Linked DNA regions of Cricetulus griseus. Each later gene encodes a partner of the first gene's protein in a complex. Links are inferred from orthologs where the notes say so. Each region holds a gene or a part of one and is shown on either strand. Other genes may lie near its edges. The genes, in order: Gigyf1 and Tnrc6c.

The links.
Region 2: the proteins of Gigyf1 (region 1) and Tnrc6c are in contact, whole or in part, in a crystal structure (PDB 7RUQ), measured with the Homo sapiens proteins. The link is inferred for Cricetulus griseus from reciprocal best matches to the Homo sapiens genes GIGYF1 and TNRC6C. Residues at the interface, in NP_001362694.1 of Homo sapiens: Tyr479, Asp481, Pro482, Gln487, Phe490, Trp498, Tyr503, Phe504, Leu508; in NP_001136112.2 of Homo sapiens: Arg1719, Pro1720, Pro1721, Pro1722, Gly1723, Leu1724, Thr1725.

What each region holds. Positions count from the first base shown.
Region 1 is NC_048597.1:116,435,390-116,450,298, reverse strand, and holds the start of Gigyf1 (GRB10-interacting GYF protein 1), read right to left. Parts: upstream 7,378-14,909; 5' UTR 6,963-7,377; intron 6,076-6,962; 5' UTR 5,932-6,075; intron 5,852-5,931; 5' UTR 5,786-5,851; intron 5,664-5,785; 5' UTR 5,589-5,663; coding exon 5,554-5,588; intron 5,455-5,553; coding exon 5,325-5,454; intron 5,245-5,324; coding exon 5,149-5,244; intron 5,024-5,148; coding exon 4,912-5,023; intron 4,787-4,911; coding exon 4,678-4,786; intron 4,441-4,677; coding exon 4,400-4,440; intron 4,274-4,399; coding exon 4,109-4,273; intron 3,902-4,108; coding exon 3,648-3,901; intron 3,564-3,647; coding exon 3,455-3,563; intron 2,783-3,454; coding exon 2,648-2,782; intron 2,504-2,647; coding exon 2,403-2,503; intron 2,262-2,402; coding exon 2,090-2,261; intron 1,993-2,089; coding exon 1,826-1,992; intron 1,685-1,825; coding exon 1,584-1,684; intron 1,505-1,583; coding exon 1,385-1,504; intron 1,210-1,384; coding exon 1,109-1,209; intron 970-1,108; and 7 more. UniProt on the Homo sapiens protein: May act cooperatively with GRB10 to regulate tyrosine kinase receptor signaling. May increase IGF1 receptor phosphorylation under IGF1 stimulation as well as phosphorylation of IRS1 and SHC1.
Region 2 is NC_048600.1:130,236,096-130,250,821, reverse strand, and holds the start of Tnrc6c (trinucleotide repeat-containing gene 6C protein), read right to left. Parts: upstream 8,016-14,726; 5' UTR 6,224-8,015; coding exon 6,161-6,223; intron 4,540-6,160; coding exon 4,518-4,539; intron 1-4,517. UniProt on the Homo sapiens protein: Plays a role in RNA-mediated gene silencing by micro-RNAs (miRNAs). Required for miRNA-dependent translational repression of complementary mRNAs by argonaute family proteins.

The DNA.
Region 1 (14,909 bases):
CCAGACTGCCACTGCTGCTGCCCCCACTCTTGTCTGGCCCGCCCCACAGTGGCCCAGCCTCAGACACCCACTGGTTCAGAGGGGCAGTGCCCAAGCCCCCAAGCTGCTGCAAATGGCAGGAAGTCAGGGGCTCGAAAATGAGCCCTGAACACCTAGGCAGGGAGGCTCTTTTGGGGGCTAAGGGAAGGGGATGAGCTAACGACTAGAGAGAGAGGACATCCTTCCAATAATGGAAAGAACCAGGTCTTCAGCTTTAGAGTCTACGCTTAGGGACACCCCCCCACCCCCCCACCTCCCTGAGTGCTCCTGGAAGCTTCACTGGTGTGGTTCCGGCCGCTGCTGCTTACCACTCGGTGGTTGGGGGCCTGGGCCCTCAGAGGCTCCCGGGGTGCAGGCTGCTTGTGGAGCTGCCGCTCACTTTCCATCTGCAGCTCCAGCAGAGTCTTCATGGATAGGCCCTGCTTGGCTAGGCCGGCCCAGAGTGGGGGAGGGGAGCTTGGCGCAGGGGGCACAGGGACACTTGTTGCTTGCTGCTGCTGTAGCAGCTTCAGCAGCAGTTCCTGCTGTCGCACCTGGGTGAGGCACAGTGGATGTTGGTGGCTGTCTGGCACCAGGCACAGGCCAGGTCCAGGAGACAGGTGGGACTTGTACCTGCTTGCGCCGGAAGAGCTCTTCCTCTTCCTGCCGCCGCTTTTGCTCCTCCTGCTGCTGCTGCTGCTGCTGGCGGCGCTTTTCCTCACGGCAAAGGCGTTTGCGCTCCTCTTCCTCCCGCTTTGCCCTGAGCTCCACTTCTCTGCGCTCTTGAAACTGCAGTGACAAGGACATTCGTTAGCTGGGAGGCTGCGCCTGCTTCAGCTGGCCTGCGCCAGGCCAGCAGGCTACTTACTTTATGTTGCAGCTGGAGTTGTTCTAGAATTGGACCCTGAGTCGAAGAGTTAATTGGTATGTCCCAAAGACTGGCTTCACCACCTGCAGAAGAAAGGCAGCTGCAGAGACCCAGACCCAGCAGAACCACCCGCAGATAGGAGGCAGAGCCACCAAGTGTGACAAGCAGAGACTGGGGGGTAAAGGGGACCAGGGTGTGGCATGGGGCAGGTTGGCCACTCACCTGACTGTGATGAAGCTGAGGTATGTAAGTCCCAGAGGGGGCCCGAATCTGGCACCGACAAGGACCGGCTCATCGTCGGGAGCAGGTTCTGGTCGCCACCCCTTAGAAGCAAACAACTGGCCCTCAGGACACTGCATTACCTGTAGCTTGACCTCCTCCTTCTCTACCTCACACCATCACACACACACCCCCTCCCACACACAGACAAACCCTCCCACACTCACCCCAACACTCACACAGACACCCCCCCACACTCACACACTTAGTACAACAGACCTGGGGGTTTTGAGAGCCTGGAGCTGCTGCAGGAACGCAGTGAGCTGCTGCTGCTGCGGCGGCGTCAGGTCCCCCATAGCTGCCTTTTCCCGGAGCGTCGTACACTGCGGGAGCTGGCGGCTACAGACATACTGGGCTCAGACGGTATTACCACGTACAACCACTGCCCTGCCCACACCAAGCCCTGAAGTCCCCATACCTGCCGACCAGCTGCAGAAAGTGCTGGTGCTGCAGCTGCTGGTACAGGGCTGCGGCAGCCAGCTCCTGCTGCTTCTTCAGCCGCTCCTGATCCATGTTTCCCTGCGGGAGGTCAGAGCATGCCCGTGTGAGTGTGCCCAGCAGGAGCATGCCCAGCAAGTGAGGCAGTGAGGTAGTGCCTGAGGTCCTGCTGCTGCCCCACTGGTTGCCTTCCCTGCAACCTGCAGAGCAGACAGTGCTCACCAGCAGTGGGGGCGGCGAGGGCCCGGGGGCAAAGGGCACACGGCCCCACATCTTGATCACCTCTCCCAGAGGCTGAAAACCCTCATCGCAGCCCCTCTTCACTAGGAGTGACATGGAAAAGTAGCCTGCCTGGAACCACTCAGCCATCTCCTGGGTCGTGAAAGGGCCTGGAACAAGGGTGTGAGAGGGGTTAGGAGGTGGCCATGGCACGTCAGAGAGCACACGGAGCAAATCAACTCCCAGCAGTCTGCTACCCACAGCTACCTTGGATTTCCCCCTGTGGGTCCTTGTAGAACCACTTTCGGGCAGCGCCATGGCTGAGGGGAAGGGCAGTGGCGGCTGTGGAGTGGCGAAGGCCCTGTGTCTGCATGGCGGCCGTGAATTGCTCCTCCTCCAGGGAGCTGTCCTGCAGGGAGGCCACCAGCTTCTCTGCCTCCTGGGAGTCCAGAGAGAGAGGCAAGTCTGAGAGGACTGATACCACAAGGGCCATGTCAGACAGATCTAGGACACGTGGGACAAAGGTCTCTGCAACCCCAGAGTGGAGGCCCCTTGAGCATGCACAGGCACCCCCCCAAACCTGCTGCAGGTGCTTCAGGCCTTCTTCATCTTCCAGATCTCCAGGTGGGCCAGGAGGTGAGCCAACTCCAGGACTCAGAGACAGTCCCCTCATCTCATCTCCTGGGAGAAGAGATGGGAAAATGGGGAGGGGCCGAGGAAGGGACAGGATGGCTCTTGTGCCTGCTAGGAAAATGGCTCTTGCCACAACTCCAATTCTGTATCCACACCCAGCACTCCCTTTTCCATCAGCTCTTGCCAGTCTACCTTCAGCCGGTGGAGGCTCTTTCTCCACTACTTCATCACCATCCTCGTTCGTTGTCCAGAGAGGGCCCAAGGCAGGCAGTGGAGATGGGGAGCTGGACTTTTCTGGAGGAGGTAATGGCGTCACCTCCTTCCCACCTGGAAGGAACACATGACTACTTGAACTCAAAACTGAAGAGGCTGAGGCTAAGGAGTCGGCTCAATGCGTAAGTGTTTGTTTCACAACCATGAAGAGCAGTGTTGAAATCCCAAGAACCTGTATAAAAGCCACACATGGGAGTGGGAGTGGGAGGCAGAGAGAGGAGATTCTCCACAAGCTGGTAGGCCCAACTGAGCCTACCTCCAACAAGGTGAACGGCAGGGACTATACCCACTATACCCACAATTGTCCTCTGCCCCCCACATACTCTGTGGCACATATACAATAAAAATAAGAGAGCAGGGGGAGACCATGCCAGTGAGATAGCACAAAGTAACGTGTACCAGTTCCCAGACCTTGGGTGGTATGTCTATCCTTTCTAACTTTGGTCAACTCCCTAACCAACCAAGAAGTATGGATGCAGAGAACTGAGCTGTCTGCACTGCGCACACTGCCTCCCGGCCCTGCTCTGTGAGATATTGGTTAGGTCCTACAAGTGATGAGGGCTGTGTGGGTGGGTGCCTGCAGGCTTTCCACATGACTCCAAAGGTCATTCTCTTCACACCTGATAAAGGTCTCTCTCCACATCTCTGACTATTGGCTTGGCACATGCACGTGCACATATGTTAGAGGACGACTTGGCTCTTCCCTGCAAGGTTTTAAGGGCTCACCTGCCTCAGGCCCCTCTTCATCCACTCCTTCTGAAGGCTCCTCCTCCTCTTCCTCCAGGCCCTGGAAATCAAGCTCTTGCTCCTCGGGAATAGGTTCCTTGGGACCCTTCTGTGTGAGAAAGGGCAGAGTTGACAGTGGGAGAGGAGTTGAGGGACAGCTTCCATCAACCCCAACTGGCCCCTGAGAGGGTACCTTAAGAGGCAGGAAGGCCCCAGAAGCATCAAAAGTGCCCATCTCCTCATCTTCATCGTCCAGGCACCACTCAGGGAGCCCATCCTTGTCATCTTCAAAACCATCGAGCCCCCGGCATCTCCGGAGGTGAGAGCTGCCTCCCCCAAGTCGCCCGTCCTCTTCACCACACGCTCCTCGTTCCCCTCGTAAATCAAAATCAAACTTGCGCCTCCGCTCCCCATGCTCCCGCCAGCCAGCAGAGCGGGGACCACCATCTGGAAGAGAAAGTTAGAGAAGGAAAACAAAACAAAACACAAAAATGAGTGTCCAGCCAAACCAGGATTTGCCTTCTTCAGCTCACCAGGTCTTCCCAAGAAGCATGGCTTCCCCAGGATGTCCTCATCCCTCATATGCATGACCACCCCTTCCCCAGTATCGGCCCCATGGGGGCAATTTTCAAACTCCACCTTGCCCCATCTTACCAGGGCTGGTGGAACGCCAGCGATCACCATCTCGCCGGGGTCCTGCCCCGAGTCTCCAGCTGCCATCCTCCTCTTGCTCCTCTCGTAGTGAGCGCCAATTCTCACTGTCAGAGCGCGCATGCTCCTTCCTCGGGCCGGCCCCCCCCTCCTCAAACCCAGACCGTGCTGGCATGGGGGAGACAGACAATGAGCACCAAAGAACCCTGTGACAGGGTTCTGCCCCCCCTCCACCTGGGAGCCCATCTCAATCGCCTCCCTACCCTACTGGCCACACACGCAATGCTCTCATACCTCCATCCCTCCTTGCAGACTTCTCAAACCGCCTCTCACCTCTGTGGAAGAAAGATGCTGGTCAAAACATATACACCATCCCCTCTGCAGAGGGAACTAGGGGACAATCAGGCTGGGGAGAAAACAATAGGACCCCCAAACCAACGAATGAAAGGATGGGTAGGACCCAGAGGGCTCTGGCCAGGGCTGGCCTGTTTCTAGTTCTTGCTACAGACACCTCACTGCCAGTCCAGCCCCCACTCCTCTGTTCTGCCTGCCTTCCTCATCTTTCACCACACCTGTCATCCCAGCTCTGGCTTCGCTGGATCTCCCGGGGATTGCGTCCAAAGGCCCCATCGCCTTCCTCAATGCTTCTTTGGTAAAAGCAGCTGTCACCACGGCCACGGCCTGAAGGAAGAGGGGTGACATCTGGGTTTGGGACCTTCCCGTGACCCTCTCTCTGTATCCTTAGTACCACCCATTCAGACTCTGCCCATCTCCTCCCCTGAAAAACATGGGAAGTCATCCTCTACCTCGGCTCCGTGTGCTGCCCCTGCCACGGGAGGTGGCAGCCAAAGGGGGCCCAGCCCCTTTCCCCATCAGCCTCAGCACAGCCACACTGTTCACTGACAGGGAGAAGTTTCTCTGAGGAGGGAGCCAGGGAGGGGAGTGAGGACATATCACTCAGTCAATCCCCATCCTCTCAAGCCTGGCTTCACCTTCCTCCACCCGAGGCCCATTTGCCTCAGCCCGGCTGGGCCCAGCCCCACCTGCTCCTCCTCAGTCAGAGGTTCCAGGGCCAAAGGTTGTAGTGGCTCCTCTTGTAACACTGCAGTGAACTCCTTGTCCTGCAGCTCCTCAGGGACCTGTGATGGGACAGGAGGCCCAATACATTATACATTCAGGGGCAACTCACTGATAAGGCAAATGGGGAAGGGAACCTCACCTTGTTCTCCTTGACATAGAGGGCCAGCATCTCCTCTCGCCCATAGCGGTAATCTGCCAGCTTGTATTTGGGCATGGCAGGGGATGGGGGTGGAGAGGCCACATTGCCACCACCTGAAAGAGCCCTCAGCCTAGAGCAGGCACAGAAAGGAAAAAGGGAGACGAAGGTCCATGTGGCCCATCCCCACTGCCCTAGCTTCTTCCCATGGGCCAGAGCTTGAGCAACCCACCACTCAGGTCCAAAGTTGAGTGTCTCTGCTGCCATCGTGGAGCTGAGATGCTTCTCAAAGGTCAAGGATTAGTAGAGAAGAGAGGACCAGGCCTTGTACTGTCCAAATACCTGTAGGGCCACAGACAGGGCCATCGGTAAGCATCTGCAGGTTAGTCATGGGGCCAGCACTTTACTGGGCCAGTGACAGGCCTCATCTGGATGGTCAGCCACTTTGGCACTGAAGAACTCACCTACACCAGACACGAGACCACTCACACCATGAGTTAACCCAAATCAAGTCAGGGTAGAGGACAGTCCTAGAGGAAGGAATTAGAGAACAAGGAAGCTTGAGCCCTTTCTGCCTCAGTGGGGCGCCCTCTGGTGGTTCATCACTCACCTGACAGTCCTGCCCTGGGAAGTAGAGGAGGCACCGGCTCTTTTGGCAGGGCCTGGGCTGAGCTTAACTAGAGTCTCCAAGCCACTAGCTATCGTCTACAGCCTCAGTGGTGCCAGGGAGGAACTTTCACATCTGGGAAAGATCCTTAGGGAGAAGAAAAGGAAGAGGTTGGTTACACCAGTGAGTCAGATGGCTTCCCAACCTCTGGCCCACAGCTGCGGATACAGAGCACGCAGGGCACATGTACAGGCATGATCACTGGCCAGTGGTGCTGGCATGGGTTTGCAGCACAGAATATAGCGAGGAGGTGACTTTCAGGACCACAACCCAGGTCAGTAAGCCACCAGAACCAGACATGGTGGTGCCCATGCTTGCAATCCCAGCACTCTGGAGGCAGAGGCAGGAGGATTTCAAGTTTAAGGCCAACCTGGGACACATTGTAAGACCTTGCTGCAGAAACAACAAATGGACTGGGGATTTAGTTTAGCTGGTGGATTGCTATTTATCACACATGAGCCCTAGGCTCTGTCCCCAGTACCACAGAGAAAAGGTGTGGTAGCACATGCCTAGGATACCAAAAACTTGGGAGATGGAGGCAGGAGAGTCAGGTCATTCTTGGCTACATAGAAGTTCAGGGTCAGCCTTGGCTACATGAAGCCCTGACTCAAAAAATAAAACACAAAGGCACTGGGGCCATGATGTTCTATAGAGGAATGGTCCATTTTGGAGAGTGTCACAGTAAATCTTGAAACAAGGTAACAAAGATGATGTCCCTAAAGAAAAAACAAACAAAAAAACAAAACCAGAGGACTGTATCTGGTCAGGAACCAAACCAAAAAAAAAAAAAAAAGTGCTGCCAGAGCATTCACAACAGTGTTAGATTGCGCGTGCGCGTGCGCGTGCGTGTCCACAACACCCCAGGCTCATCTATGGGAGCCAAGCCCTAAATTCCTTCCCCTACATCAAGAACTCTCTCTCAGAAAAAAGGTGAAGGTGGGACCAGGGTTCTCAGATAGTTGCTGGCACCTCACCATATGGGAAGAGGCAAGTTCAGTGTCTGAGGCTGATGAGGCAGCAGGGGCAGGTTCCTCTAGGAGCCTGGGTAGGAGACTCTCAGGAGATGGTTCATCCAGGAAGGGCAGAGTAGAGGAGGAAGGGCAGGCAGTGTCCAGGGGTTGTGTGTAGGTTTCTATCACTGGCTGGGCAGGAGGCTGGACCAGTGTGCCTCTGCAGTCCCCATCCGCTGTAGGATGCCAGGGATCTAGAGGAAGGAAGAAGGGGGTTTCTACCAGAGAGGCTTCAGAAAGAGGGTCTCCCCTGTAGCTCAACTGAGACACCATGCCAGACAATGGGGTGACCCAGAATCCCAGCACCCTAGGATCTAGGGTGACTACACATGGCTGTTTGGAGACAGCAAGAGCCTGGGCTGTCCCAAGTGGCCCATAGCCCAGTGCTGCAGGATACTCTGAAGGCTTGCCTCCACAACCACACCTTTCTTAACTACCACCCTGGGGGATCTGGAACTAGGCAGACCCCAAGAACATGATGCTAAGTGTAACAAGTCGGGCACAGACAGCTAAGCTCTGGGGTTTCGGATGTCACTAAGCTGGCAGAGAGCTTGCAGAACATACACGAACACACTGGGTTTGACCTCAGCATCACATACACCAGATGTGGTAGGATACACCTATAATCCTAGCACCCCGGTGGTGGGTGCAAAAGGATCAGACTTTCAAGCTCCCCTACTCCCCACCCCAAGGAAAAGCAAACAAACAAGGAAAAGCAAACAAACAACACTAAGAGGGGCTGGCGGTGTTGCTCAGTGGTTAAACAACTGTCTAGCATGCACAAGGCCCTGTCTTCAACCACCAGTACTGCCAAAAGACAGACTTGGGGCTGGAGACAGACACTCAGTGGTTTACAGTGCTTGAGGTTCATCTAAAGGACTTGAATTCGGTTCCCAGCACTGAAGGAAAACAAAAAACAAAAAACAAAAAAACAAAAAACAAAAAAACAAAACAAAACAAAAAACCACCACACACAAGAAAGATAAAACCTCTGTAGGATCTTTCTTACAGAGGATCCAGGGGTTGGGGGCAGGTCAAACACAAAGACCTGGGGTTGGGACAGAACTACTGCCAAATGATGAATGGGTCCAGGATTTCAGCTGGGTACAGGGGAGGGGTGTGGAGACATCAGTGGTGACAGGTGATGGCAGCACAACCCTGAAAATGTATTGACATTAACCCCACAGAACTGCACACTTTTGCCTCAACCTCCTGAGTGCTGGGATTGTAAGCATGCACCACCATACCTGGCTTACACCCATCATTCAATTTTTATTTCTTAATTATGTGTATGTGTGTATGGTGGGGGGAAGGACGGTGTATGCCCTGGAATGTAGGTGTCCAGAATCTAGAAGGTGTTGGCTCCCTATGTCACCTGACATGGCTGCTGGGAATCACACTCAGGGCCTCTCCAAAGGGTCGTCTCTGCAGCCCTCAACAATCATTTTAAGAAAGCTTTAGTGAGGTTGGTGGCTTAGGATATGCTTAGCATGCATAAACCCTAGGCTACCACCCTCAGTATTTATTTTTTAAAAAAATATTTTGTCAAAAAAAAAAAAAAAAAAGACAGGCGTTGGTGGTGCACGGCTTTAATCCCAGCACTTGGGAGGCAGAGGCAGGCGGATCTCTGTGAGTTCGAGGCCAGCCTGGTCTCCAGAGCAAGTGCCAGGATAGGCTCCAAAGCTCACAGAGAAACCCTGTCTCGAAAAACCAAAAAAAAAAAAAAAATTTGTAGGGCAGGGAAGATGGCTCAGTCAAGCCCCAACACTCACATAAAAGCCAAGCACAACCCTAGCACTAGGGAGGTAGAAAGAGGAGTATCCCTGAGACTAGCTAGCCATCCAAAACCTGTTTTTATTGCTGTTAAGTAGAGGGCTGGAGAGATGGCTCAGTGGGTAAAGTGCTTGCTGTACATGCATGAGGACCTGAGTTCTAATCCCCAGAACCCATGCAAAGACAGATGTATAGTGTCCCTACAGGGAGATGGGAGGTGGAGAAAGGAGGACCCCTGGGAGCTCATGAACCAGTCAACCTCAGGAATGATGCCTTCAGCAAGACACCTTGTCTCCAATAAGGTGGAAGGACCAACATCTGAGGTATCCTCTGACCTCCATGTGTGTACACACTCACACATGCATATACACAAAGGCTAAAAAAGCAGTAAGGCAGACAGCAAAAGAGAATGATCTGCACGTGCTCATACACAAAGCTTTAGGGGGAAAAGCCATTGTGGGGGCTAAACACTTTCCCCATTCCAAACTAAGAACCCTATACTCCTTCAAACAATCTCCAAAGTGACAATCTGGGGCCTTCTCAATCCTTCTGGTGGAGCAGGCAGTGTGGAAGGGTTGTCCAGTAGGAGAGATCAAGGGGTATCCTACCCTAACCTTCCTGCATCCTCCTACCCTTCATGCGGCTGCCCCAAGGAGAGGCAAGCTGGCTGTCAGCTCAGCTTGGTAAAGGTGCTTGCTGCCAAGCCTGATGACCTGAGTTTCATCCCTTAGAACCTACAAGATGGAAGGAGAGAAGCCACTCTTCCAAGTTATCCTTAGATCTCCACATGCATGCTATGGTGTGCACACACACACTAAGTAAGCGAAGGGTGGGGTGGGAGGTGGACATGATGACACCGTTCATTTAAAAAGGGAAAAGAGAAGAAAAAGAACAATAAGCAAAGGCAACGTGGATACAGCAGGGCCACTGCAGAGGCGAAGGAAGGCCTAGGGGAAGGAGTGCAAGCTCCAAGGCCTGCAGACCAGCCTGAGAAAGTGCCAGGGACTAAGCAGCACGGAAGGGGCTCAGGAAGCAGCAGGCAGCCCACTATGTGATGTCTGAAGCCATGTACTCTCCACTGAGGGAAACTCGTCCCAGAGGAATATGGACAATGACTGCGGACACTGAGGCCATCACAGCTGGACAGAAGGGTGCTACTGGATTCTAGCAGGTAGAGACCAGGATGCTATGGACCACCTTACAAGCCACAGGACAACCCAGAACAAAGAGGTATGTGGCTCAGTTGGCAGAATGCTTGTCTAGCATGCACAAGGCCTTGGGTTCAATCCCCAACAACGCAGACGGTGCAGGCCTGTCATCTAGCATGTATCCAGGTAGAGACAGGTGGCCTCTACCCATGAGCCTCAGTGGAGACACTGGAGCCTTAGAGAAGCCTGCGGGCTCCCTTGCCCCTCAACAGCAAGAAAAGGCTTCCCTCATGACGCAGTCGCATGAGAAAAGCCCCAGGTCCTTCCAGGGGGCAAGGCCTGGAGAAGAGAACAGGTTGAAAAGCAACAGCATCAGGCCGGAGAAATGGTTAAGGAGCTTGTGGCCAAGTCTGATGACCTGAATTTAATGCTCACGGTGGAAGGAGAGCACCTACTCCTCCAAGCTGTCCCCTGACCCCCATACACACCACGAGACATTACTTGCGTACATGCATGTGCACGCACACACACTCTTTTAAAAATGAGAAAAAAAAAAATCAAACCATAAGTTTGTCAATTCCTCAAAGCTAAGCACCCACACCCCTTTCTAATAAAGAAGCCCATGGGCAGTGGTGGAGCAAGCCTTTAATCCCACCACTCGGGAGGCAGCGACCAGCCTGGTCTACAGAGCAAGTTCCAGGACAGGCTCCAAAGCCACCAAGAAACCCTGTCCCAAAAAACAAAAAACAAAAAACAAAAAACAAAAAAAAAAAAAAGAAAGAAAGCAAGCAGGAGAGCAGCAGGGTGGGGACCACACCTTTCCCCACCTCACCTTCTACTGATGCCTCAGTGAAGGTCTTTTTCTCCCAGGCCAACTCCAGTTTGCCCTCAGGCTCTGCCTCACAAAGCCCCCTCCCCACAGCCTACTTCATCTCCCCCAGCACCTGTGCTCTCTTGATACTAAAAGAGTGGCCCCTGCTGGAGACATAGGCTGGAGCTGGAGCTCGCAGCTTCCTTGAGGGACCTGGGCTGCTCCTCTTATGCCAAGAACTCTAAACACAAGCTGAACACAATTAGGGACAATGCTTTCCTTACTCTGTCACCCCTAAACTTTGTTCCAATCTAAAGTAATGTAACTTGGCACCATCCTGTACCACTGTTAACAGAGTCAAAACCCCAAATATCCTAAACTTGAGCAACTGCCCAACCACTTAGCCTGTTGAAGACAACTTTCCCAAGATGGATGGATGGAGAGACACTGTGTCTAAGTATTCTCCCTCCATGTATAGTGGAGGAGGAAGGACTACAGGACCCCATCAGCCCTAGGGCAGCAGTTACCCCTGCTCTACTCTGCACCACAGTGACAAATAACCCCAGCACTTGGCAATTGTGAATTACTTCACAGTTTTCAAAGCATTTTCACGCTTTACCTCATTTGATCCCTGCTGCCAGCTAGCCTAGGCAGGGGACTCTACTACATAGAAAATAAAGTTACAGCTTCTCTGCCAGGGGACCCTGACACCCTCACCATCCAGCCAAGACTGACAGAGCATCCTGAATGTGCGGGCTTCCTATGTGAGCCTGAGGCCCTTTTTAATTCCTTCTTAGACTTTGGGCTAATGATGCTTGCTGAGACAAGGTCTCATGCTGTAGCTGAGGTTTGCCTCAAACTTAAAGCAGCCCTCCTGCTTCTTGAATGTTCCCATGATCTGCACAGGCTTCCAAACCAAGATTTTTCTGAGGCTTTCATGTTTTGCATGTGTGTACAGTGTCAGTGTTATGTATTCAAATTCACATGTGGATGCACATGTGTGCATGAATGTAGAGGCTTGAGGGTGATGCCTAGTATCTTCAGTTGCTCTCCAACATACTTACTGAGGCAGGTCTCTTGCTGAGGCAGAATATGCTGTTTTGGCTAGTCTAGCTAGCCCTCTTGCAAGGGGGATTCTGCCTTCCTGGGATGGCTGGGATGACAGGTGAGCCTCCATGGGTGTTTATGTGGCTCTGGAGACCCAACCTCAAGAGCTTCAGCCACCAGCGTCCTTTGCTCAAACTTTTGCGTCACCTTTCTTACCGAAAGCTGAGCTGTCTTTCTTTTTCCTCTCTTTTATCACTAGTGTATGATGTGGCAGAGGGGCACACATGGGGGCAGAAGTAGGTTCTTAGTCAATAGGCTTGCAAACCAAGTGCCTTGACCTACTAGGCCCTCTCACCATTGGGCTGTTTTCCTACCCTAAATGCCCAAAAGAGACATACAAGGCTAGGGTTAACTTGGGGTCTCTTATTCACTATCTCCACAAACCACTACTTTGTAATCATTAGGTGACAAAGCTAGTCAACAAAGGTGAACAGACTTTAAAATTTTACTAAAATCCCCAAGTGGGACACTCAAGAACCGGGGCCCACACAGTCAACGGAGAGAAAGCATAAGCCAACTTCCTCAAATCCTCCCCCAATTCGGGATACCGGTGTCCCACCTATGACACACAAGTTGAGCTGGGAGGAAGGGTAGCTGGCCTGGGGCTGCAAGGGGAACAGTTGGATGGGTAGGTGCCAGCGCAAACCAGACACTGGTCTAGATGGGCTGCGAGTGTCAGGAGAGAGTGGTGTGCCAGCTTGGAGGGGCCATGGCTGCTGCTGGGAAGGGGCTTTTGCTGAAGGGTAGCAGCACTTTTGAGCAGTGAGAAGGGAGTAGGGCCGAGGCCACCAAGTATTTATTTAGCATCTCCCAGGCACAGCACTTGCAAGCTGTTTGGGAACTGTAGTAACTATTGGGTCTAAAAGGGGACACAGAAGGGTCTTTCAACTTGAAAAAAAATTAAGAGAAAGAATTCTAAGCAAACTGTGAGTAACAGTGACCTGCAGCTGTCCCATCTAGCGGGAACATATAGACTGAGAAGAGCCTGGTCTAGTGTCAGGGAAGCCCAGCAGCCCCAGCTCAGACAGACAGGTGTCTCCCGCGGCCGGACAACTGAGATGAGAAGAGGGACCTCGATGACCAAGCACTTAGGTGGCCGCTTAAAACGCAAGAAACCGAGGTGACGACCCGAGACGCGGCGCTCGGGCAGAATAAAGCTTCCATGTTGGCCGAAGTGCTAGAACGCCTGGACCAGAGAGCCCCGCCAGGCCCGCCCGGTTCGGCTCCCAGAACCGGGCTGGGCATGGAGGGGGGGAGAGGGGACACCGCCAAAAGGGGAGGTCTGGGCGCGCGCGCCGCACGGCCGGCGGAGGCCCGGTCCCCGGGCGGGACATTTCGGTGGGGAGCCCGGAGGGGACCCCGGGGACGCGACCGTTACTTAGGGCTGCGCACGGGGGTGCGGGAAAGCGCGGGCCGGGAGGACGGCGTGCCCTTCAGGGAGGGGCGCCAGGTGCGCGGGGCGCGCGCGGACCGCCCCGGTCCCCTCTCCCTCCCGTCCTCCCGCCCAGAGGGGCGGCAGCCCCCACCCCGCCCGCCCCAGCCGGAGCGGGAGCCCGAGCCGCGGCCGCCGGGGCCGCTCCGGAGGGCGAGCGGGCGACACGTCCAAGGAGGAGGCCGCGCGCGCCGTGGCTCCGGCCCGGCTCCGGCCCCGCCGGCCGCAAAGGCTCCGGGCGGCCGCCTGGCGTCGGGGCGCGGGCCTGCTCCGGTGCTCGCGAGCTTACCGGGGCGCGCGAGGTGCCCGGTCCCCCGGGCGTTGGTGACCGGGGCGCGCGGCGGCGGCGGCGGCGCGGCGGCGGGTGGCGCGCGGCGGGCGGGCGGGCGGGCGGGCGGGCCGGCGGCGGCGCGGCGGCGGGGCGGGGACGGGGGCGCTGGCGCTCCCGCGGCGGCCGCTCCTCTCTGTTTGTGTTTGTAAGCAAGATGGCTGCCCGCCTCGTACCACGTGACAGCGACGCGGGGCCGCCCCCTCCAACGCCGCCCGCCGCCGCCGCCGCCGCCGCCGCCGCCGCCCGCCGCCGCCGCCGCCGCCGCCGCCGCCGCCGCCGGCGCTCTTGGACTCCGACCCGCCTGGTCCCCGCGCCCGCCGCGGCGCACCCCGCACCCCGCAACCCAGCCCCGAGCGCGCCGGCCCGGGAGGGAGCGCAGCCCGGTCACGTGACGGCACCCCGCACCCGGGGCTGGGTGAGGGGGCCCCGGCCTCCCGGCCCCGCCGCCTCCGCGGAGCCCGCCTGGGTTAGAGGGGACACCCCGGGGAGGCCAGCACTGTCCCCGCGACGCCGTCCGCGGCTGCGGACCGTGAGTGCGCAGGGACGTGGGAGGCGCAGGAGGCCGGGCCGAGGCTGCCGGCTGGGTAGGCTGGGAGCAGCCTCAGCAGCAGCGTCCGCGGTTGGAAGGCAGCGAACCCCAGCGCCGAGCAGCAGCTCCACACAGCCTGCCTGTGACACCTTCTCCCAAAACTAGGCCCCAGGAAGCCCGAGGCGGCACAGGCTGTAATGCCAGCGCTAGAGCGGTAGACAGACAGACAGACAGACAGACAGACAGAGGGGTCAGGAGTTCACGTCACTGTGTCTACGAGTGTTCTGTAACAATTTAAGACATCCAGAAATGACTTTTCCGTAACACCGAGGGACTCATGGTGTGAAAGTTTGCTGTGTGCCTTCGTAGTTTGCTTTGAAAGTGTGTTTCCTCCCTCTCGTCCTTACTTCGTGTGTGTGTGTGTGTGTGTGTGTGTGTGTGTGTGTGTGTGTGCGCGCGCGCGCGCGTGTGCGTGTGTGTGCGCTCGTGCGCGCGCGTGTGTGTCTGAGTGTGTGTGCATGCGTTTCCTTTCTTCCTTCTTGTCTTCTGTTGTCTCTTTTTGTTTGTTTTGAGACTCGGTCTCACTACATAGCCTTTGCTGGATTGGAATTTGCTATGTAGACCAGGCTGGCCTCCAGCTCAGAGAACCACTTGCCTCTGCCTCCCAGTGGCTTAGTTTTTGAAACAGTCTCACACACTGTAGCCTGGGTGGCCCTTCCACTAGCCCAGAAATCACAGTGGTCTTCTTGCCTCCAGGTGCTCAGCTTTACAGGCATGCAC
Region 2 (14,726 bases), on another chromosome or scaffold:
TCCATTTTATTTCACTGTTTAGCTCAGGAAAACCCAGATCTTATGTTTTATCAAAACCAGTTGCTGATTACTGTGTTCAAAGGACTGGACAGACAGCCATGGCTACCTCAGTTACTCAGAAGTACCACCCATCAGTGGGTGTGGAATGTGAGTTCTTGCTTCTTTTTGTCTCTATACCATAAAGTCAGGGTGACAGGCAGGCTCTCAGAACTCTTCACTCACGTTGATAACAAGCTTGTGTGTTTCAGGTGAGCTGTATGTAACCTGTGACTCAGATGGCTACATTGACAACAAAGTGCAGAAAAGGCTCTCTGTGAACTGGCAATCACACAGGGGACACATGTCAGGGCCGCACCTGCACCACCAAGATCTCAACTCAGTCGTCATAACTAAACATCAGGGGCACTTGCTTTCAGAGATGCTATAACTAACTTCAAATGTTTTATAGGAAAACTTATTTATTTTATGAACATAAAAAAATTAAGCCAGGCATTGGTGGTGCATGTCTTTAATTCCAGCACTCAAGGGGCAGAGGGCAGAGGTGGGCAGATCTCTGTGAGTTCGAGGCCAGCCTGGTCTACAGAGCGAGTTCCAGGACACAGAGAAACCCTGTCTTGGAAAGAAAAGAAAGAGAGCAGAGAGAAACAGGGACAGAGACAGAAATGGGGGGGGAGGGGAGACCTTCCTGCCAGCCTGTTCATAGACAGCATCATTATCTTTGCATTAGAGACTTAAAGAAGAGCAGCTAAACACCCAACCTCTGCTCTAACGATACCCTTAGTGATCTCATGACAGTAGGGACTAAAGTGCTGGGACTTTAGTGCTTGAGTGCTGGGACTAAAGGTGTGCGCCACCATTGCCTGGCTGGCAGGAAGGTTTTTAAAGGGCTTTGTGTTTTGGCATTAAGAGGAGTATGAACCGTGGAAAGTACTGGATTCTGGGAGTTTATATGAATACACAATGAGATGTAAAGGATGGCTACTAAACAGTAACTGGGAAATAGCTTGGATGGATTAGTTTCTCTTAGGATTTTTTGTTCCTTCACTCTGTGTGTGTGTGTGTGTGTGTGTGTGTGTGTGTGTGTGTGTGGTGTGTGTGTGTGTGTGTGTGTGTGTGTGTGTGTGTGTGTGTGTGTGTGTGTGTGTGTGTGTGTGTGTGTGTGTGTGTGTGTGTGTGTGTGTGTGTGTGTGTGTGTGTGTGTGTGTGTGTGTGTGTGTGTGTGTGTGTGTGTGTGTGTGTGTGTGTGTGTGTGTGTGTGTGTGTGTGTGTGTGTGTGTGTGTGTGTGTGTGTGTGTGTGTGTGTGTGTGTGTGTGTGTGTGTGTGTGTGTGTGTGTGTGTGTGTGTGTGTGTGTGTGTGTGTGTGTGTGTGTGTGTGTGTGTGTGTGTGTGTGTGTGTGTGTGTGTGTGTGTGTGTGTGTGTGTGTGTGTGTGTGTGTGTGTGTGTGTGTGTGTGTGTGTGTGGAGAAGCCAGAAACTGACATCAGATGTCAACCTTCTATCAGTCTTTACCTATTTTTTGAGACAGGGTCTCTCAGTGAACTTGGAGCTCACCAATTGGCAACACCAGGCCAGTGAGTCCCAGGCATCTTCCTATCTTCAACTCCCTGGAGATGGAAGGACAGGCATATGCCACTTCACCCAGTTTTTTACATGGTGTTGGTTAACAAGCACTTCACCAACTGAGCTAGTGGGATCTCCCCCTACCCTTTAGGCAAGGTCTCTGTCCGGTAGCCAAGGCTAACCCTTGCACTCAGAAAGGCATTAATGCAGAGCTGCCGTAAGGACAGAGGCCGAGCAGAGCTCCAGAGAGCAGCAGCAGTGTCTGCTGTCTGCAGAGAAAGCAGGGCTCCTGTGGTACAAGCTACGGGCAGGGTGCCAGAGGAAGGGTGCTCCTTCTGCAACTCCCCTACTTGGCCTGCTCTTTAGAACAAGCGTGAGACTCCCACAAAGAAATCAAAAGCCAGGACTTAAAAAAAAAAAAAAAAAAAAAAAAAAGCCAGGTGCTGGAGAGATGGCTTGGTGGTTAGAGAGGACCAAGGCTCTATTCCCGTCACCCACATGGCAGCTCACAACTGTCAGTAAGTCTTCCTCCAGGGGATCGCACATTCTCTTTTCCAGCCTATGTTAGACAGGAGGGACTCCTAACACACCCACACCACCTCCTCACTGCCTGGAAAGCTGCTGTGCTTCTCTGCCGACCTTCCCGACATGTGCTGCTCTGACAGGAGAAGGTGGGCAAGGGTTTGCTGTGCTGTTCCACAGACTCTCCTTGCTTTGTAGCTTTGTATTACTAGCCCTGGTGACAACAGCAGCAACAGAGTCACTAACGCCAGGGCCTAGAACTGGCCTAGCACAAAGGCAGTAGCTGAGGGCTCTAGGCAGGAAGGAGGGAACATGGAGATGTAGCCCTATGTACTGCCAGGCCACGACAGGGGAAACAAACAGAACACTGTGAGCACAAATGTTATCACCAAATCAGGCCATGTCCTTTCTAACACCAGTGCCTAGTCAAAAGTGTCACCTCACAACAGCTGATTCTGATGGCACCGAGTAATGATGGAAATCTGAGAAAAATGTAAACCCAACACTGCTAATAATCATCAGAAAACAATCTAGACTGGAGGGATGACTTGCTGATTAAGAGCACTGGCTGCTCTTTCGGAGGACCTGGGTTAGTTCCCAGCACCCACATGGCAGCTCACAACCACTCTCCAATTCCAAGAGATGTAGCACCCTCTTCTGGCTTCCATGAATGCAGGGCAAACATGTGGCACATATGCAAACATGCGGGCAATATACTCATACATATAAAATAGAAATAATTAATTAAAAAGAAAATTATGCACAAGTACTTTAGATTGTTCTGTTTCTAAGGACATGAACAACTGTTTTAGGACAGACCCAAAGGACAGTTGTAGGCACTGACAAAGTGTCCCACAGAGCCAGCCACTCAGAAGAGGTAACAGGAAAGCAGTCGGGTGCTGTCAGCACAGGCACACAGAGCAGAAGTCCCAGGCAAGGGGCAGCACAGTTTGTTCAGGCACCACGCAGCAGTGAAGGACAATGGAAACGAACTGTGAAAGTGACTCGTTTAAGGGGGATGAATGATACACAAAGAGTTCTGTTTTTGTAGATGACAGTAAGAACCACTGTTTTATTTGAAATCATAAACTCAAACACAGCCACAGCCAGTCCTTTTGGTCCATTTGAAAAGATTCTAACAGAGCAGAGAGGCCCTTGTACCCTGCTGCTTCTAATACTCATGTAACAGTGAACTAACTCAGCTCATGACATGACTCTAGTAGCCTGGCGCAAGGACTGAGGCACAGGGCAGAAGCCCAGGCTCCCCCGTTATGCCTGGACTATTACAAAACCAAGAACTTACAAGTCCTGTTCAATTATGAAGTTCAAGTGTAAGATCATACATGTAATTTTAACCTTGAAAACTGCCAGATGCCAGCTAGAAGTGAAGTACTAGAATAGACTGCAACTGAGAACTCTTGTAAAAGCCCTTATATTGCCAGCACCTACAAGTACAACTGTGTCCAAGGGAAGACAAAAAGATTTAAGTAACAGTGAAGTACAGCAACCTTTACTCAACATCAGTTACACTCTAGCTATTGGTCCCTTTCTTTTCCTGTGGGAGCTCACTTGTCTTTACAACAACTTTATAAGGCAAGAACAATCCATCACTTTTCTCATTTTAAAGATGCAATACCTGAAGCTTCAAGAAGGACCTTGTCATGGAGGGAACAGAGCTGGTCTGTGACCCACATGTGTCCCTACTGTGTCGAGTATGAAGTGCAGGGCATGGGCTCACTCTGAGCCTCCAGCACACCCAGCACGCCTGACCAACCCTGTTACAGACAAGGGTAAACAAGCTCTGGAAAGAAGCCTCTTACCCGTCACTAAGAAAGAAATAGACGATGTCTGCAAGGGAATAGCTGGCAGTAAGGAATTTCAAGCTTTAAAAAAATTTAGCCTTCTCTGGGTCTTATTCCAAATGAATCACCTTCCTGAATTCGATCCTTATTTGGTGGGAATTAAAGCAAAAGGAAATTTAAAGTGTTGTTTAAAACACAGATAACATTTTCTAGGCAGTTTTATATTAACCTAATGACAATGAAATGTAGATACATAAAACCAGTCACAAATGAAGAGCTTCACAATGTATAATAAATGTACAGTCAAAGACAGACTTAGATCCTTTGTTTTAATGTCACCTTCTGGGGTTCAGGGTTTAACAGCACTTGATGATCTTGCAGAGGACCTGGGTTCAATTCCCAACACCCACATGGTGGCTCACAACCATCTTAATTCCAGTTATAGAGGCTCCAAGGCCCTCTTCTGGGCTGTGTGGGCACTGCACACACTTGGTGCACAGACACACATGCAGGTGAAAATATCTATAAACATAAAATAAATTTTACAAAAGTCACCTCATTGCAAAGTTGGATACCGCTATAAAAAGTATGCCCCTCCCAAAATGTATATTAAAAACAAATAAACAACTTACCTTTGGTTTTTTGATCAGCAGCCTGAAAAACAAAAATCAGAAATGCTTTACAAACGGTTGTGTGGAATGTACACATTGATGAAAGTTTATAAGCAGATTTTTTTTTTTTTTTTTTTTTTGGGTTTTCGAGACAGGGTTTCTCTGTGGCTTTGGAGGCTGTCCTAGAATTAGCTCTTGTAGACCAGGCTGATCTCGAACTCACGGAGATCCACCTGCCTCTGCCTCCCGAGTGCTGGGATTAAAGGCGTACGCCATCAACGCCTGGCTTATAAGCAGATTTTAATTGGTTTAGGTTTTGCTCTTTTAGTTTCTTTAAGACATGGAGCCTTGACTATCCTGGAACTCACTGTGTAGATCAGGCTTGCCTCAAACTCAGACAGATCTGCCTGCTTCTGTCTCCCAAGTCCAAAAGTCTTGGATTAAGACTTAATTCTTGAAATTTTAAAAGCAAACCAGGTAATTTACTACTGAGAAAAATCAGTATTTCTCTACATGCCATGATTACATGACAGTGTTAAGTTACAGGCAAAAAAGTTTTTATGGAGCTCCCTATCTGCCACAGTCTAGAAGGGATCCTTCAAACCACATGGCACATTACTTAGGTGAAAGCAAAGATGGGTTGTATAATTTGGTTTACATGTAATGAAATAGAAGTATGACTATAAGGTTTAAAGAATTCTAAAAACCAGATTTTTAAGTGTGTGGTGTGTGGTGTGTGTGTGTGTGTGTGTGTGTGTGTGTGTGTGTCTGTCTGTCTGTCTGTCATGTGTGTGTGTCTGTCGTGTGTGTGTGGTGTGTGTGTGTGTGTGTGTGTGAGTGTGTGTGGTGTGTGTGTGTGAGTGTGTGGTGTGTGTGTGTGTGTGGTGTGTGTGTGTGTGAGTGTGTGTGGTGTGTGTGTGTGTGTGTGGTGTGTGTGTGTGTGTGTGTGTGTGTGTGTGTGTGTGTGTGTGTGTGTGTGTGTGTGTGTGGTGTGTGTGTGTGTGTGTGTGTGTGTGTGTGTGTGTGTGTGTGTGTGTGTGTGTGTGTGTGTGTGTGTGTGTGTGAGTGTGTGTGGTGTGTGTGTGTGTGTGTGTGTGTGTGTAGGTGCCCAAAGGGACCAAAAGAGGGTGTTGAATCCTCCCCTGGAGCTGGAGTTACAGGTGGTTGAACTGGGACTGAACTTGGGTTCCCTGGAAAAGCAGCAAATGTGCTTAACTATTGAGTCATCTCTTTAGATTGGTTTATACAACTTATTTTAACATTTATAAATAAGATTTATAAAGACTATTTACCAAGACTGCAAAAAATATTTCTAGCTTTTCTTATGCTGTCAGTTTCATGGCTCCTTCCTGATGTTTTAGATGGGGGCTGCTCTGGGCTGGATATAGTCCACTCTCAGAAGAAGGCATGAACATTCTTGCACATCAGCTACACAGCCCCTGGAAACAAGACTTTGCTATGTCTGGCTCTTTAAAAAAGACATTTTGCAGCTGGCACCCTAAATAAACTGACTTTACTAGCTAAGTACCCATTATTTACTAATTACAGATTTAGCACATTGATTTAAAACAGAAACAGAATCAAGCGTGGTCATGAGACAGCTATTCTAAGGCACATGTGACACACATGACTACGACGGTGTGGAGAAAGGAATTGCAGCAAACCTTTTTCTGAGCACCTTCCTTCTTTTTCTTGTCTTCCTGCTTTTTCTTTTTCTTTTCTTCCATCAAACGTTCCTCTTCTTGTGTTTCCTGTTCTTTTACCCTATTAAATATTTAAAAAGTGGTATTAGCATGATGACTGATTTAAAGCCCATTAAAAAATGAAAAAAAAAAAGAAAAAAACAAAACAAAACAAAACAAACAATCAGAACCAGAACTGGTGGCACAGGACTATAATCCTCGCTATTTGGGAAGGTGAGGCAGGAGAATCATGACTGGCCCACAGGGTAAGTTCAAGACCAGTCTCTGTATGTGTGGGAGGGTGCTGAATGTAAGAGTGTTTGGCTGCCTTGTCTGTGAGATGCCCTGGGGTCTGACACTCAACACTGGGGTAGAGGACAGGGATAGGATCGGCACACAAGGTCTTGAGCTAGACATACACAGGATGGAGACTCTTTGAGAGGATGAGAAATGGAGGTTCACCCAGGACTATAAAGTGTCTCAGTTATCTCATTTGTTTGCTTCACATTTGTGGAGAACCAGACTTGTACTGGGCATTGTATGAAGGACATGGAGTAAGGTACAAACCCATCAGACTAGTGCTTTTCCAAGTGTTGTCTCACACCATCACTGCATGTGTCCATTTGTGGTTTCTATCCTGCCCCACAAACCAGGCTTTTGGAGGCGAATCCCACGTACACTTAATTTCATGTTTGTCTGACCAAAGGATTATCCCTCTACACAGAGCCCTGTTCAGCTGAAGAGCTATTACAAGATACACAGCATGGAGGAACTCTGCTTTAAAAGGTCACAACAGCCTAGCCACTGGGCTATGGAGCTGAGGAGTCTAATAGCCCAAGTGGTCACTAACAATTGCCTGACAGCTCCATGCTCTCCCAACAAGACAGGCTCTGGCCCTTCTTCATTCAGTCAGAGACCTGGGAAGCGTTCTCATTAGAGGGTACAACAGGATGAGGGGCTCTCCTGACCCCTGGTGCTGTGGCACTGTAAGGTCAACATGTGGCTATGACGCCCCTGCTGATGACTACAGACCTAGGCTGAGCACAGGCACCCTTGCAGCTCTGGTAGTCTAGCATCCCATGCAGCAGCACTCCCAACACTCATCTTATCCCAGGCCTCCTGCTACTAGCCATTTGTCTCTCATGGGTCTCCCAATTAGTGGCCCTCTCGACAGAAACACTGGGCTCCAGCCTGCTGCACTGATAACCAATCCATACACTCAGCCTGGCAGTGCTTCTGGCTGCTCAGCAGCAGCAAACCTGCCCACAGCTCAGAGCATGTGCCAGCATGTGGGGACTCCCTTCTAAGCCAGCTCCTCTGTGGGGACTCTACCAGTTTAGGGGCCACACCACTTTCTATAGTTGATTGCTTGTTGTTGTTTGAGAAAGGGGTTCACTATTTGGCCCTGGCCTGCCAGGAATTAATTCATTATATAGACCAGGCTGGCCTGAAACTCAGAGATCCCCCTGCCTCTGCCTGTCTCCTGAGTGCTAGGGTTACCACTGTAAGATTAATACAGATGGGCAGGCATATTTAACAGATAAATATGAGAAATAGCGTGCCCAAATCTACCCATGCGTAGATGTTGCCTTGTATTTATATCTGTGAATATTCTTTCTTCAAAACAATGACTCCTCAGTTTCTGGTTTCCAGTCAGAATTAACTTGGGAAGCTTAGAAACATCCAGACCCGAGGCTGCTACAGCCATGTGGATGGGACCTTTGTGGACAGGACTCTGGCATTGGCACACGTACAGCTTCCGGAGGGCTCCAGATTCAATGCACATTATGAACTTTGAAAAATGACTATTCATGATCCCAGAGAAACTCTCCAGGAATGTTTCACGGTAAAAAAAAATGTTTTCAAAAAAAAAAAAAAAGTATACACTGTACTAAGCCATTTATATGCACAGCATTCTAGGTATAGGCGGCCTGAGTGTAACCAGGTATGCTCCAACCATACAGCTTCAGCTACACATCTAGGAAGAAAAAAAAAAAAACCATGTCAACAGTGGCTGCCTGCAGTCGGGCTTTCTTAATCTACAGCACACTGAGACCCTTAAATTATCTTCAAAGAGGAAATATAACAAAGGGCAGGTAGGGGCTCTGTGCTGCAGAGGTAGTCAACAGGAGGAGGAGTAAAATGACTTCGACTTAATTCTATTCATCTGCAAACTAAAGTAACAAAGGCCAGCTACTCTTCAGCCCAGGTGTGACCTTTGTTTGACTGCTCATGTTTACATGACAAAGTACCACAGCAGCAACCACCTCTACCCCTAACTTGCACTGTGCAGCTGCTATTTTTTTAGTAATAAAAAATGAACACATAATGACGTTTCTATTTTGTAATGTAGTACATGCCCATGGGAAAACACACACTGTACAAAGGTGAAAGTCTAAAGACTCCTTCTTTTCTTGTGTGTCAGCTGGAGTCATCTTAGACGCCATCAATGTATGCTCAAAGTTTCGGGGTACCCCTAAGAGTGCTCTTTGCGGGACGTCCTGAGGGCATAGTGCAGTGACACAGCACTTGCCCGGGCACATGTATGACCCTGGGTTCAATCTGGGTGGGTTGGTGGTGTGCAGCTGCAAATCCCAGGAAGCAGGGGTATCTTGAAATTGAGCCAAGACTCAAAACAAAAATAAAAACAAACAAAAAACACTGAACCAACCCAAAAAATTCTTCATGTGCTTCTTTTTATTTTTGGTTGTGAGCCTAGCTTTAAACGGCTGAGCCATCATCTCTCCAGCCCATGTACTTCTTTTTTAAAAGTACTAAGTGAGATGTACTTACTATTCCCTTTCTTCTATGTTACTTAATGATCCATCCCAGTAAGTGTGGGGCACGTTATTCCTGTGGTTTTGGTGAGTGCTTCAGCTCTGAGGGGAGGCTTCCCGAGTTCTGAAGGAAAGGGTATCCTGACCGCATGGAGGAGCCAAGGAATACTGCAAAGTCATGCCACACAACAAAACTCAGAGACTTATTGGGAGAGACACAAGAGGGTGGTTACCTCTGCTCAGAAGAGAGGCAGAGGGGAACTGAGCAGGAGGCAGGCTTTACATAGGAGTGTGTGTGTGTGTGTGTGTGTGTGTGTGTGTGTGTGTGTTTTCCCGGGTGTGTGTGTGTGTGTGTGTGTGTGTGTGTGTGTGTGTGTGTGTGTGGGTGTGTGTGTGTGTGTGTGTGTGTGTGTGTGTGTGTTTTTTCCAGGGTGGAGATTTCCAGAGTGGGGATTGCTGGGATTTCAGGCTCAGGAACCAGTAAATTTTGGTGAGTTTTCACACCCAGAAGTGGGCTTCAACATTTTACCCTACAGCCTGGCTCTGCTGTTTCATCAAATATGTGAATGTAGCCATGTAGCACATGGAAGGCACTTTTGTACTTTTTGCAGAACCCTTTTTCCCCTTCTGAGGCACAATCTATCCCACTGTGTTGTCCCCCTGGTTGGCTTGAACTCACTCTGTAGATTGTCTTAATGGTTTTGGTTTTTTTTTAATGATTTATTTGTTTTCATTTTCTGTGCACTCATGTTTTGCCTGGGTGTGTGTCTATGTGAAGGTGTCAGATCCCCTGGAGCTGGAGTTACAGACAGTTGTGAGCTGTCATGTCATGTAGGTGCTGGGAGTTGAACCTGGGTCCCCTAGAAGAGCAGCCAATGCTCTTAACTGATTAGTCATTTCTCCAGCCTCTGTTTGGAGTTTTTAATCACTGCTCTTTTATTTTTCTTGTACTTGTTTGTATTTTACACTTCTCTACTCACCTAGAGTTTAAAACCCTGCCTTTTAAAACACAGAGACAAAAAAACAGGACCTTGTGAATCCAGGCTGGCACTGAACTGGCTCTGTAGCTATGAATGACCTTCGACTCATGATTTAGGTACATTTACCTCCCATGTGCTGATATTTCTAGAGCTCCCTATCTAGCTCCATTCATCTGGGAGCAGGCCTCACAAGAACTGACATGTCAGGCACACCAGTTAAAAATCTAAAATTTCTGTAAAAGTATGTGGTACACTTTTCCCTTTTAAAGTACATATAGCTCAGGTCTGTCTGTGCAATCCATCAACCCTGGTTAAGTACAGCTCTCACCCCTCATCAAAGAATCTTCTTTTTGCAAAAGATGGAGATTAGTACAATGATACATAACTGGCCAAAATGCAGGGAACAACTAACCCTGGAGTGCCCAATTCCAATGGAAATACCTCCATCAGGCAATGCAACATCCCCTCCTCAGCTCAGGGAACATCACGGAAGAGGGGCAGAAAGACAGATTGGAAGAGCAAGTGCACGCAGCTAGTGTTGCCTACATGACAAGGAAAGGCACCCATGGACTCTCAACAACATGGTAACCTGAACAAGACCAACACACCAGCTGACATGCCAGCATGGACAGGGGAAACTCCGTAAGGTCCTACCCTAGAGGAGGGGCTAACAGGTAGTCAACGGCTTCTGAGAGAGAGGGAGAATCAGTTTTCTTCATGAACAAGCTCCCACGTATACACACACACACACACACACACACACACACACACACACTCACACACACACACACACGAATATATATGTAACAATAATAATTAAAGATGAGGTTGTAGGGCTGTAGAGATGGCTCAGTGGTTAAGAGTACAGGCTGCTCTTCCAGAGGTCATGAGTTCAATTCCCAGCAACCACATGGCTCACAACCATCTATAATGAGATCTGGTTCCCTCTTCTGGCATGCAGACACACATGCAGGCAGAATAGTGTATACCATAATAAGTAAATCTTTTAAATAAAAAAACAAAGATGAGGCTGCAAATTTGAGAAAGAGGGAGTACTGGAGAAGTTAGGAGGGAGGAAGCCTGAGAGTGACGCGGGGCTCATGTATGACACTCTCAAAATAATTTTTAAAAACCTAATGCATGACATTAGGGTAGAAAGACTTGCATGTTAATTTTCTCTCCAAATAAGTGACATAGACTAGTAGTGTTATTATCCCCAATGGCATGTAATTAGCATGCTTCCCCTTTCAAAACACAAACTCTGCATTTCCCCTCTCCCAGCCTCTACTTTCCTTCTTTGTGAGTCTGGCCATACTCACTCACTCACTCACTCACTCGCTCACTCACTCACTCACTCGCTCGCTCACTCACTCACTCACTCGCTCGCTCACTCGCTCACTCACGCTAACCCTCCTGTGGTCTCAGCAATGCCGAGTGCGCTCTCCCAGGCTGCTGGCATTCACACACATGTTTCCAGTATCGCACTAGCTACCTTTTTACATTCAACTTCACATTTACTCTGTGTGAGTGTCTTGCTTGCGTGTGTGAATTTGTGCTGTGTGCAGGCATGAATGTGTGCTGTGTGCAGGTATGAATGTGTGCTGTGTGCATGCATGAATGTGTGCTGTGTGCAGGTATGAATGTGTGCTGTGTGCAGGTATGAATGTGTGCTGTGTGCATGCATGAATGTGTGCTGTGTGCAGGTATGAATGTGTGCTGTGTGCAGGTATGAATGTGTGCTGTGTGCAGGTATGAATGTGTGCTGTGTGCAGGTATGAATGTGTGCTGTGTGCAGGTATGAATGTGTGCTGTGTGCAGGTATGAATGTGTGCTGTTGGCATGTATGAATGTGTGCTGTGTGCATGCATGAATGTGTGCTGTGTGCATGCATGAATGTGTGCTGTGTGCATGCATGAATGTGTGCTGTGTGCATGCATGAGCTAGTAGAGGTCAGAAGAGGCGCATCCGATCCTCTGCAACTGCAGTTACAGATACTTGTGAGCCACCATGTGGTGCTGGGAACTGAGCCCAGGTCCTCTCCAAGAACAAGTGCCCTTAGAAGCTAAACTCTGTCTTGAGCCCATGAATCACTCATTTTGATCTGACTCAAACTGACAGGGCAGGAAGTCAGGACACAGACCCAGCACAGGGAACCACTAACATCCTTACCTATCCAGTGGGGTTCATTTCAATGTTTTAATTCAGTCATTCCATGATTTGCCCTTGTATAACTGCTTGCCTATCTTGCTGTAAAATAAAAGTGTCTCTTTAAGAAAAGGTGCATGTTGCCACCGGGCATTGGTGGCGCTCGCCTTTAATCCCAGCACTCAGGAGGCAGAGGCAGGTGGATCTCTGTGAGTTCGAGACCAGCCTGGTCTACAAGAGCTAGTTCCAGGACAGCCTCCAAAGCCACAGAGAAACCCTGTCTCAAAAAACAAAACAAAACAACAAAAAAAGAAAAGGTGCATGTAAGCCAGGATGGTGGCGCACCCCTTTAATCCCAGCACTTGGGAGGCAGAGGCAGGCAGTTCTCTGGGAGCTCCAGGCCAGCCTGGTTTATAGAGAGTTTCACGACAGCCAGAGCTACACAGTGGGACCCTGTCTCAGGAGGGGTGTGGGGAGAAAAGGGACTGGAGAGACGGCTCAGCAGTTAAGAGCACTGGCTGTTCTTGCAATGACCCAGGTTTGATTCCCAGACTAACTCATAACTGCCTGTAACTCCAATCCCAGAGAATCTGACACCTTGTGCTGGCCTCTGTGCTTACTGTATGCACATGGTGCATGGACATACGTACAGGCAAAACACCTATACACATAAAAATAAAGGGAAATTTAAAAAAAAAAGAGTAAGAATAAAAGGGTATGTAGAAGTGAATCTCTAGAAACTGCAAGCTTCATTTTTTGTTAGACTGGGCCTGGTGGGTCTCATATATCAGTTTGAGAATTGATTTGAAGGCACGATGCTCCTGCATCTCAGCACATAGCCTGAGTCAGAAGGACCATGCCACTGAATATAAAATCCTTTTTAGGTCATATGTTTTTTTCTGCAGATACAAATGTTTCTCTTACACTTGAGCTCTGAAACTCCCTGAATGTGCGTCTTCAGTGATTTCTGTGCTCACTATTCACACTTAGCGTGAAAGATGGATGTTTTCAAGCCAGGTAAATCTGTTTTCAGCGCTTTGTTTCGTGTGTGTGTGTGTGTGTGTGTGTGTGTGTGTGTGTGTGTGTGTCTGTGTGTGTGTGTCTGTGTCTGTGTGTGTGTGTATGTGTGTCTGTGTGTGTGTGTGTGTGTGTGTGTGTGTGTGTCTGTGTCTGTCTGTCTGTCTGTCTAGTGCTGCAGGTAAGAATCTAGTCCTAAACCAGGAATAGTAGTGCACATCTTTAATCCCGGCAGGGGCAGGGGCAGGGGTGGGGCAGAGGGATCTCTGTGAGTTCAAAGCCAGCTTGGTATACATAGTAAGTTCCAAGACAACCAGAATTGCATTATTGTCTCAAAAAAACAAAAACCAGAACAAACAAACAAAATCCAGGTCCTGGCATGCTAAGCAAGTACCCAATAGCCACGCTGTGTGGCCAGACCATGGCTACTGAGATAAGGTCTTGTTCATAGCTTCGGCTGGCCTGGGACTTGTCTTCCTGTCTCAGCATCTCCAGTGCTGGAATTACAGGCATGAACTACCATGCTGTGTGCTGGCTTACTGAAAGTATCTTCATTTGGTTCTCTTCTTCCTTTTTTTAAGAATGGATCTCAATGTATAATTCAAGCTGGCATCAATCTTGCCATTATTCTCACTCAGCCTCCGACATGCTGGGGATACAAGCATACACCACAATGCCCACCCTCCCTTCAGTTTTCTAAAGACCATACTAAACCCCTGGTCCGTTGGATTAACCATGTGTAATTTTCTTTTTTAAAAAGTTATTTTCTAATACAGGAGGTGGTGGCCCATACCATTAATCCCAGCACTTGGGAGGCAGACTGTGAATCTGAGGCCAGCCTGGTCTACAAAGCCAGTTAGTTACACAAAGAAACCCTGTTTTGAACCCCCAAGAAGTTATTTTCTACCATTTTGACTGCGTGTGTGCATATGTGTGCACACATGTGCGTTTGGCTTTCCTAGGTCCTCCAAATCTATGGATACTTAAAAATTTAGAGCTGGGTGGTGGTGGTGGTGGTGGTGGTGGTGGTGGTGGTGCACGCCTTTAATCCCAGCACTTGGGAGGCAGAGGCAGGTGGATCTCTGTGAGTTCGAGACCAGCCTGGTCTACACAGCGAGATCCAGGACAGACTCCAAGCTACACAGAGAAACCCTGTCTCAGGGGAAAAAAAATTAGGTTAACTGTCTACTTTCTTGAATGCTTCGTTCCCACAACACCTTGACATCACTTTGCAGATGTAAAACCTGTTCTTCTCCAGCTGCAGACAGGAAAGCTGTCTGTTTCCTACAAAATCACAGTTCCCTTCTAAACCAAGGAGCTCTGTGTGAATGAATGGATTTACTTCATGGTCGACTCTTATCTTAGAAAGATCAGTCAAGGAGCTGGCTGTTTGCTAGAGCAGCCTCAAATGCCAATCACGTTGTTTCCTCCTGGCTACCACTCATTTGATCTAGCATTAGATACAAGACCTCAGCCATCCAGAACTGCCCATTGCTACAGTTGTCCCAGACTATCCTGTATCCTGATTCTAACTTCCTCTCCTTAGTCCTATTTCTATTGTGTCTGTTCTTGATCCTCATTGAAATTTGTTTCCTGACTCTTCCATGTCCTTCCAAGCTTCTGTCATTA